Drosophila melanogaster: one gene and its partners. The protein of the gene in region 1 interacts with the protein of each later gene in a pairwise test. Each region holds a gene or a part of one and is shown on either strand. Other genes may lie near its edges.

Region 1 (3,355 bases):
TTGGAGCCAGCGAAGCCGCAACGCGGACGCTGTGTAGCTGCCATCTGCTTCTCGTGGAAGGTGCTCACCTGCATTGTGTCCCATGTGCTGCTCGTGCTTCTCGTGGTTTCCTATTGCGTGGGCGGTGCCTACCTCTTCCAGCATCTCGAACGACCCCACGAACTAGAGGTGAGTGGGTGATTTTGCTGGAAGGTCTCAAATGCTAAAAATCCAAAATCCCCATGCAGGTGAAGCGAGACATACAGAATCTTCGCGTTAATCTCACGGAGAATATCTGGCTACTGTCCGACGACGCAGTGGTCCTAAGGGAAAGCGATTGGATGGCCAATGTCAGCAAGCACCTGGCCAATTTTGAAAAGCAAATCCTTACGGCCATCAAGGCCGACGGCTGGGATGGCGACGAGGATCTGCGCAAGTCCCAGTGGACCTTTGCCGGATCCCTGTTCTACTCGATTATTGTGATAACGACCATAGGTGAGTATGTTTTTTTTAAGCTTATGGATTGAGTTCTTCAAAGTCATGTGTGAGTAAACATGGGAATTTATTTGCTTAGTCTATACGTAAACTATGCCTACACTAAGGTGACTACTTCCAACTCAGCCTAAGGGAAAAAGGAGGGTTGAGTGGGAAAGTAATAGCTTCAGTTCCATATCTTTAACATAACACCTTCCACTTCTAAAACACGAAGCTCTAGACCTTCTTACTGAGCTTATCATTCACTTTTCTGGGTGACGCTGCCACACTCTTAGCACTCTTACCATCGGCCACAGCTGGCGATTTCTCGTCATAGCCGAAGCCTCCTCCTAGAGGTGGAAAACTTCCACCGTATCCGAGTCCACCGTTGCCTACTCCAAGTTGACCTAAGCCCAGTCCTCCTGCCAGACCATAGCCCTCGGTGTACTGAGGTCCACCGAACTGTTGGTTTGCTGGGTACTGTCCCAATCCTGGGAACTGGGCACCTGCGCCCGCGAATTGGCTTCCACCGAAGTCGCCACCTGGATAGGAGCCGTAAGGGTATTGCCCATTGCCAGGAAATTGGTTGAGGCCAAGTCCATTACTGGGGAAGTTGTTAAACCCACCACCCACGCTGGCTCCGGGGAATCCAGCTCCGGGAAGTCCCTGTCCTACTCCTCCGTATCCGCCTGGATATCCACTAATGCCATTTTGAGCTCCAGAGAATCCACCATAGCCTGGCTGATAGGGAGTGGGGTATAGCTGCGGTCTCCCTATGATTCCGGTGGGTCCGCCAGGTCCGACTAGCACTCCGGGGTTTCCGTTATAGCCTCCAAGTCCTCCGAACTGTCCGGCATTGGTCTGACCACCGTATGGATTAAACTGACGGGTGCCTACGTTGGGAGTGTCCGATGACCTGGTGGGCTCCACATCGGCATAGTCCTCTATCTCATCATTCTCCGGTTCGCCCGGAAAAGGTCTTCGAGTCGTGGGCTCCCGCCTCAGCTTTTCGTCGTACGAGTTCCTTATGGGGGAACTGCGATTGATGTCCCGAAAAGAGCGCTCCCTGCGATTGTAGGACCTCCAGACCCACTGATCTCGATCTCCATCCGAAGACTTAGCCGCCACTGATCCAAGAAGGCATAGGACGATGATGAGGCAATAGCTTGGCATGATTGGCACGCTTTGTTCGATTACACACTGACCCGATTTTTGCGCTTGATCGCGGCAAGCTCCCGCAACAGAATAGTTCGAAAATGCGACCGGCACACACTACTTATATAACCGCACCCGAGAACCAAAAAACAAATACAACCGCCAGAGACATCAGCGGCGATGACGACGCACAAACTCAGTCAAGCGACGAGGGCAGCCGCAGGTATTCGCATTCGGCGGCTGCCCGACCAATGAATCAACGATCGTGCCAGACAGAAATCTTCAGAGATCTGTGGCCCAAGTCTTGGCCCACGTTGATTCACCTGAAGCGCGACCAGACCGCAATCCGCCCAGGAACCAATGAGGCAAGCGGATGAGTCGGACAATTGGTTTTGTCCACACAGCGATCACGTTGAAATCGCATAAATCACGGTAATTGACCACCACCGATCGACCTAAAAGCTTATTCCTGGGAATTTCCATGAGTTGGAAAACATATGCTTGCTTCCTTTGCAGGGCGGGAGTCACAAGTCAAAGATTCAGCTCGGACACAGTCAGGTGAGCAGCCAGCACGTGGTTGACCTCTAAAAATGGGTTCATTCGGGTGGTGATGGCTTTCAAAGGGAGCGAGGGTGTGTGGAGCGTGTCAAATGAAACCAAAAGTGGATTGCTGCCATCCAATTGTTTGTGGTCAAAACAACAGCAAGGTCAAACGCCACTGACCGATCGTGATTATCTTTTCTGGCATTTCAGATTTTTAGATTTTAACGATGGGAATTTCTCATTATTAGTATACCCTAACACACAGGGGGTGTTGGTGATTAGTGATTACTCATAAAAGGGGAAGTGGTGCATGGAAGGTTTTCAATCGAAGGCCTTAAGCAAACCCCAAGAACTCTATAAACTCTCCTACTTTAAAAGTATACAGAAACCTTTTTCACTTTAACCCACTTAGAGCATTCAACTTTTCGGCTTTCGAGTGGAAGTATTTGGTATAAATCAGTTTATTAGCTCTGGCTGTTGATGATGGGAGCTTAGTTTTACGCTTTTCGTCTGCACTTTTCCCCGATATGGATTTACGGCTAGCACACAAATGGGTTTAGTGACCGACGCCCATCAGATAGAACCCCGCGAAGAGGGGCACAGAATGCTATCTACGAATTTGCACACTTCCGTAAAGGCCAAAAGCGGCAGACTTGAAATGCCATGTTTGCTATTTCGAAGCGATAATGGGCTTGGCATGAACAAAAAGAAGTACATATGGATTGGGGATTGGGCCTTAGCGGGTCTTAGATTCATTAGTATTTCAAGAACTTTGCGGTCACGAGGTTGAAGGTGAAAGGTGACTCAAAATCAATCTTACCTATCTGCGAAAGAGTAATTATGTGTTCCTTGTCATTCTCTGGACAGGCTATGGTCACATATCGCCGCGTACGGATTGGGGCAAGGTGACAACGATTTTCTACGCCATTGTGGGCATTCCGCTGATGCTCATCTGCTTGTCCAACATTGGCGATGTCATGGCCACATCATTTCGGTGAGTTGACATCGATGAGCTGAGAACTAAATGAGTATGTTTTCATACATATATTCCAATATAGGTTTCTGTACTGGAGAATATGCTGCTATGTGTGCACCCGCACGGCCAAACGTCCGAGGAATGCCCGATCCCGGCAGAGATCGATGCGCTCTCAGCGCCATGCCCGATCCCAGCCGCCGCCCTCGTTCCGGCGCTCCATGAAGATGA
Region 2 (3,150 bases), about 21 Mb from region 1:
TTTGTTGCTGCTGTAATTTCGACAGCAAACAAAAGTTGCTGCTGCATCAAATTTTTAATTAATTACACGTAAGAATGCTGAAAAATTGATGGCTACAAGGAGGTTTCTTTCGTTTCGGACAAACAATTAGCATTTTACTGTCCCAAATATGATGCGAAAGTATGAGGGTAAATGAATGAAAAGTTTGTAGAAGTTTTGTAAGGGATAGCTTTCAATTTTTCCATCGGAAAGTGGGGACGGGAGTTAGGCTCGGCATAGACAAACTTTTTAATATGAAAATTGCTCGTTTGGGGTTTGGAAAATTAAGTCCTTAAATTGGGGACTGGGGAAGCGTACCCTTTCTAGAATGTTAACTTTCAAGGAGGCATTTTTAATGTCGAGAGATAGAATTTCAAAGTCGTAATATAACCATAATTTCCTTCTTATAAATAAAACTTACAGACACACATTTTTTTTAAGAATATAAGGCGTGTTCACTATGCATTATATGTAATATTATTTTGGGTCATTGTAAAATATATTATTATTTGATAATAGTTTTAAGCTTAATTTATTTGCACAAGATCTCAATTACAATCTTTTTATGAAACCCTTTTAAATAGTACACAAATTACCAAGCCGAATTTATGAGCAAGTCACTCGGCTCAAACAACTGAGGCTACTTTAATATAGGGTGTCCCGAAATCCGTGCACATCCAGGCTTGAGCATGCGTAGTCGGCATCCGGCCGGAGCAACTCACTCAACTACTGGAGGTCAGCGGGAATGCAACACCTACGAGGCTCAAACCTACCTGAGCTACCTGGAGTAGTGCGGCAAAGAAGAGAGAGTCAGAAACCACCCCGGCAGAGAGAGTGAGAGAGAGAGAGAGTGAGTGAGCGGGCGGCGGAAGGCAAACGTCAGCTGCATGGGAACCCAAAGGCGGGACAATTCCAATTGTGACATTTTGCATTGTTGGCCAGTGTAATGACACACACCTACACGAACACGAATGAGTTGGGTACGGGAAAGGCCTTAAATATTTATGAATGGCATGTTGTATACTTTTCGGGCACATATGCAAGAGCTACAAAGTGTATTGAGAACAATTCCTTGCAATTGCCCACGACTTGCGTTTTTCACATTTTTAAAAGCTTATTTACTATGCGAGATGTGTAAACCCACCGTATCTAACATCACTAAATTACTAAGTTGTAAGCCTACTTTCATAGCCAAGAAGAATAAATTAATCTATAAGTACATTGAACTTTCCATTATGCAGTTCTCAAGTATCACTTTCCAAACCGACAGATTCGCATTGTGGAATAGTTTCAGCGTCGATGCATGACCACCAAGGCCAAAATTCTGTAGCCAAAAGTCCCTCAAACTGAACTCTCGGCCAACGACCAAGCTGATCGCAGTGGAAAATCCGAAAACCAATACGATTCCAATTATCAGAATCGGAGTTATTACGGTTGACCTCATCCGAAGGGCGTGAATGAGCATTGACCACGGTCCAGGTCGGCAATGAACCTCAAAGAAGTGGAAAGCACCACTGGCATCGCACATGACTAGGCGGACCATCAACCAATTTTAAGGTTAATGACTGTGTTTACGCAGAATAAATGTGAACCCCTGGCAAAAAAAGCGGCTGACTGACTAATTTAAATTGATAGCAAAACGGCAATCACAAATCAGACGAGATGTGGGATGAGTAATCGCGGCGATAGGCAAAAAAGAGCCAAATAGTTTTGTTTTGTTTTGTTCTCTTGTTGTTAACTTGCACTAAATACATACGTTTGCAGAGCGTTTATATTGGGATTTAAAAATATTGCGTATACGCCGGCTGGGTTACGCACGAACGAGCAAACCGAGCAGCCGCTGATGGGCGCCCGATTAAGCTCCATTAAAAAAGCGTTTTATGCTTTAAAATTGCAAACATTCGGCGGCAAACTCTATAAAATCAGTTAATGCCGGGGTTTTTGCATTCAGTCAACGTTCGAGGATTACACACGATAAACATGGCCAGAAAAATCATGTCAGTGAAACAGTCGAGCCGCTCTCCATGTTGTTGGTTCGGTTTGCTCCTGGTCGCCATTTTCCTGCAGCCATCCGCGAGCCAATACTACGGTTATCCCTATTACGGCGGCGCTAATGCGGGAGCGGGATCGGGATACGGGAACATATACGGCAGCGGCATGTACGGATACCCCTACAGCTACGGCGGATATCCGTACTACTCGTATCCCGGCTACAACCCGTACTCGATGTACGGTGGATACGGGCAGTACGGATACCCCTATGGAGGATATCCCTACGGCGGCAATGGCATGAGTGAGTTTCCCGACTGATAGCACCTCGGTGCCTAGCACACAAGTAATCTACAAGTGTTTTGGACCTGTTTCTTCCTCTAGACGTGGCCTACGCCAGCAGCAGTGGAGGATTCGCAACAGCCAGTGCGGGTGGAAGCGGATACTACGGCTAGGAAGCGCGAAACCTGATATAGTTTAGTGATAGGTATACGGTTAAGTCATCCTACCCCATAAGTGTGTTAGTGCTAATAAATATGATATTTATGTTCTATAAGTCAAGACTTATTCTTATGACGTGTCCAAAACTAGTGTACCTGGTAAAAAATTGTACACCTAACTAGTGCCTTCATGTATACCACCATAATTTTATTAGCTCCCGGAACTGATGTGATAATTTGTATGTCTTTTAGCACATTTGACCCTATGTATGTTCCGCCAAGTTTATGCTGCCATGACTCTTTGTGGGATCATTAGATCCTTTTCTCAGCTTTTAGCTTTGAGTCAATAACTACGTACGCATATCTGGTCGTTTTAATAGTTATAAAAAAGCCTTGAGGCTGTGATCCCATATATAACCATATACCGAAAAATATTTTTTGCTTCGTGATAACAAATCGACAAAGTTTGATCCATGTGCATTCTTGGCGCCTTATCGATAGCTATGGACAGTGTTGTAAGGTGCACGATAGTAAGGGGGGCAAAATTGTATCGGTCTGCCGATAGTTCCCGGCCGTTAGCCAAGTCCAAATTCGACCGACCGACCAATAGTCTCGCAAAACACAAAACAAAGGCACACCACACTTCGTGCTCTCGCCGAATTCCGCCGCCGTCGCCTGAAACTCACACAAAGTAAGCCCGAAA
Region 3 (3,177 bases), about 15 Mb from region 1:
GCTGTCTCATGCCAGCTTTGCAACTGCCACAAATGGAGTTATTCCAGCAGTGATTCCGGCAGTGCCCGCTACTGTTCCTCGCCTGGTTCCCGTGGCCACCAGCCATCAGTTTGTCACTCGAAACTGGAATCGAGTTTTCGTGCCCCCCGCCACGGTGGCCACTTATCCCAACACCTATGTTAAGTACAGCGGTGGCTATCCGGCGTATCCCGCCTACAATTACCCATACGCCACCACCTATCCGTACACCTATCCCTACTACTATCCCACTTATAACGTTGGATATGGTTACAAGGGTGTCTGGTGATCTGCAACGGACATAGCCTACCTTTAATACATTGTGATAACACTCGATACCAAATGATATTATATTATGATATATATGACAAATTTAATCAAAAACTTATTTCATATTAGATTCATACAACAAATTGTATAAAATATATATATATATATATAGAGAGACAATCTCGATATTATAAATAAATGTTTCTTTGTCCATTTATTGAACATGCTCATTCAATTCGATTATTTGTTATTAAGGAATATCACACCTGTATACACTGTACTTGGCACGTCGCCAAAAAAGCAACAGTTTAGCCATATACCGACTTAATAGTGACACAATGATTGTGGTTAACCAACTTGTACTTTTATTTTTGAATAACACGACAAAATAAGGAACAATTTCAATGCTTTCTAAAAGAAAAATGGTGCTGCCACTGCAGGAGCAAGGAAACGAGTTGGCTGAATGAGTCGGGCGCCAGTTGCAGGGAATGGAGCAGTAGCCAGGATGCGGGCAGGAGCAGTCGGAGCAAAGGCGGCATTAAACTGGTTAAAGTAGTCCAAGCGCTGGCTGCTGGATACGGCCAGGGGAGATGCACCCAAAGGATTAACCAAAGGAGCGCCAGCAAAGGGACCAGCAGCATAGGCGCCAGCAAAAGGTCCACCTGATCCTGGATAGAGTCCGAAAGTAGAGGCCGAAGGAAACAGTGCTGGATCCACAGCTGGCTTGGCTGCCACACTGGCCAGCAGTCCCAGGGATACGAGAATCAACTGAAAACAGAAAAGAGCCAAATCTTACAAAATCCTTGCCAAAGAATTTGCTTACCATTTGCTGCATTTCAAAAGAGATTGCTGCTGCCACAAGATCCAAAAACTGAATATGCATTGGCTTGGATCGACTCAAAGGTTTTATAGTTATTGTGGGCGTAGAAGACCACAGCTGGCCTGGCTAATTGGCGCTCCAAATTGTCAAACACTTGGCTCCAAAAGCGGCCTAAATGGCAGGTGCTGGCAGAGCAGCCAACCGCCACCCATTTGCATACGATCCGATATGGCTATATATGTTGGCTATGTATGTTGCCACACAAAATTCAGTAATCAAAAGTTTGGAAACGACTTGACTTGTCCAAATAAATGAAACCATTTGTAATATGCTTCTCACAGTTTAATTAATAGAACAAAATGACGGGACAAAAACCAATTTTTACATCCCCTACACAAAGGGACTTGACAATAACTATCGTATTCGTATAATTGCATTACATATATATGTATAAGAATAGGTTCGTATGTATAATTATCGTATATTATTTAGCTGTTTGGGAGTTACTTGATCGTTCAGTTTCAGTTGCTTGTTCAGTTACGTATAAATATATAGTTATGTATAATATATAGTCAAATCATAAAAACACATTGCCGTGGAATTAAACTAATTAGTCGTTAGTTAACTATGTAATCAAACAATCATACAAATTATGCTTGTAGTATGCAAAAACATAAACGTACCCTAGGAATATATGTGGTATTGTATGCTAGCACAATGGTTGCACTTTGGATAATTCGATATATATGGAATAGACGACATCTAGCATAGGCAATTAATTAGTTGCTTTCGATTTGCGGATCGATTGATGATTCGGGGCGGGGGCGTGAGTATTTCGTTATTTGACGAGTGGGGAGTAGCTTTAACAAACACTTGTTCTCGTTTAAGTTTTCTCTATGGCTTGCTTGGAATCGACTGCTGGATAAATCTATATATACAATCTGGCTTTGGAATAGGATCAGAGCTGTGTGATGTTTTGGCTTGGGCAGAACTGGGAGTAAGAGGGAACTCTACAGTCCTCGTTGGAGTGTTACGATATTGCAAGTTTAAATGGCGATTGAGTTGACTAGATATATGTGGCGAATTAAATATCGTATGGTTTCTTTATTTCTCTCTCTTCTCTAAGACTGCTCCTCATCTTCCCAATCCGCCAATCCTACCACAGCACATCATAATCGTACACATGCTCCGAGGACGCAATAATCAGACACTTTAGAAAGTCATCTAGGGTGCGCTTGAGTTTCCACTTTTTCGGCTTCCTCAGCAGCTGCTGCAGCGGCTTCGACTTGACCTTTGGCTCATGCCAGGGACTTGTAGATGTGGCGATGGATTTCTTCATCGGCTGATTCACTTGCTCCTGCAACTGCTGGACTGGCAAGTTGCAGTAAACATGGCGATTCAAGCTCTGTCGCAGGCTGTGCAGTCGCTGCTGCTGATAGTAGTGATTGAGATTGGCCAGAAATGAAAAGTCCGTGTCGTTGACCACATCGATCTCCGCATAGTTGTGGTTATCGATGTCCGGATCCGGTCGCTGCCCCGATGCCTTGGCAAACAGTTGGTCAAATCACATGTTTTCATCGAACTTTGCAAAGTTCGCGTCCTCGCTCCACTGAAATTTGCCGCCCTCAGTGTCATCATTGTGCTGATCCATGGCCTGTTCCTGGTCTGGTGATTTAAAGAACTCGTCATCCTCGAAGGGATCCTCCTGCTTTTTGGCAAATATGTTTACCGACTCGGATTTCTTGATGAGCTCCTGGCGCTGCTGCAGCTTGCTGGTTCGCATATTTTGCTTCCTGCTCATAGCACCAGATCCTCCGGCACCTGCTGTGGCAGAACCCGCTTGTTCCTTTTCAAAATCGAATGATGCCTTGGCGAAGTCATCCTCAAAGGCAGCATCATCGAATTGGGAGACCTTAACATTATCGTCAAATCGCAGTTTTTGCGTAATTGGTGGTGTTGAGGTTGGCGGTGTATCCATCTCAAACTGCTCCCGTTTCTCGCGATCCGAAAAATCATTGGAGAAGCGGAACAGGCTCTTCGATCCGCCGTTGTTCGCATTTGCCGAAACT

What was found.
Region 2: the proteins of CG9192 (region 1) and CG14563 interact in a two-hybrid assay, tested with the Drosophila melanogaster proteins (one large-scale study listed by BioGRID).
Region 3: the proteins of CG9192 (region 1) and CG13031 interact in a two-hybrid assay, tested with the Drosophila melanogaster proteins (one large-scale study listed by BioGRID).

The regions. Positions count from the first base shown.
Region 1 is NT_037436.4:1,236,610-1,239,964, forward strand, and holds CG9192 (uncharacterized protein), read right to left. Parts: upstream 1,711-3,355; 5' UTR 1,627-1,710; coding exon 691-1,626; 3' UTR 524-690; downstream 1-523. Other genes in the region: galene, read left to right, coding at 1-168, 228-474, 3,019-3,145, 3,210-3,355.
Region 2 is NT_037436.4:21,841,219-21,844,368, reverse strand, and holds CG14563 (uncharacterized protein), read left to right. Parts: upstream 1-1,982; 5' UTR 1,983-2,013; coding exon 2,014-2,311; intron 2,312-2,391; coding exon 2,392-2,462; 3' UTR 2,463-2,561; downstream 2,562-3,150.
Region 3 is NT_037436.4:16,722,837-16,726,013, reverse strand, and holds CG13031 (uncharacterized protein), read right to left. Parts: upstream 1,154-3,177; 5' UTR 1,124-1,153; coding exon 1,112-1,123; exon of another isoform or gene 1,057-1,111; coding exon 700-1,056; 3' UTR 639-699; downstream 1-638. Other genes in the region: CG13026 (uncharacterized protein), read left to right, coding at 1-307; Dab (disabled), read right to left, coding at 2,673-3,177.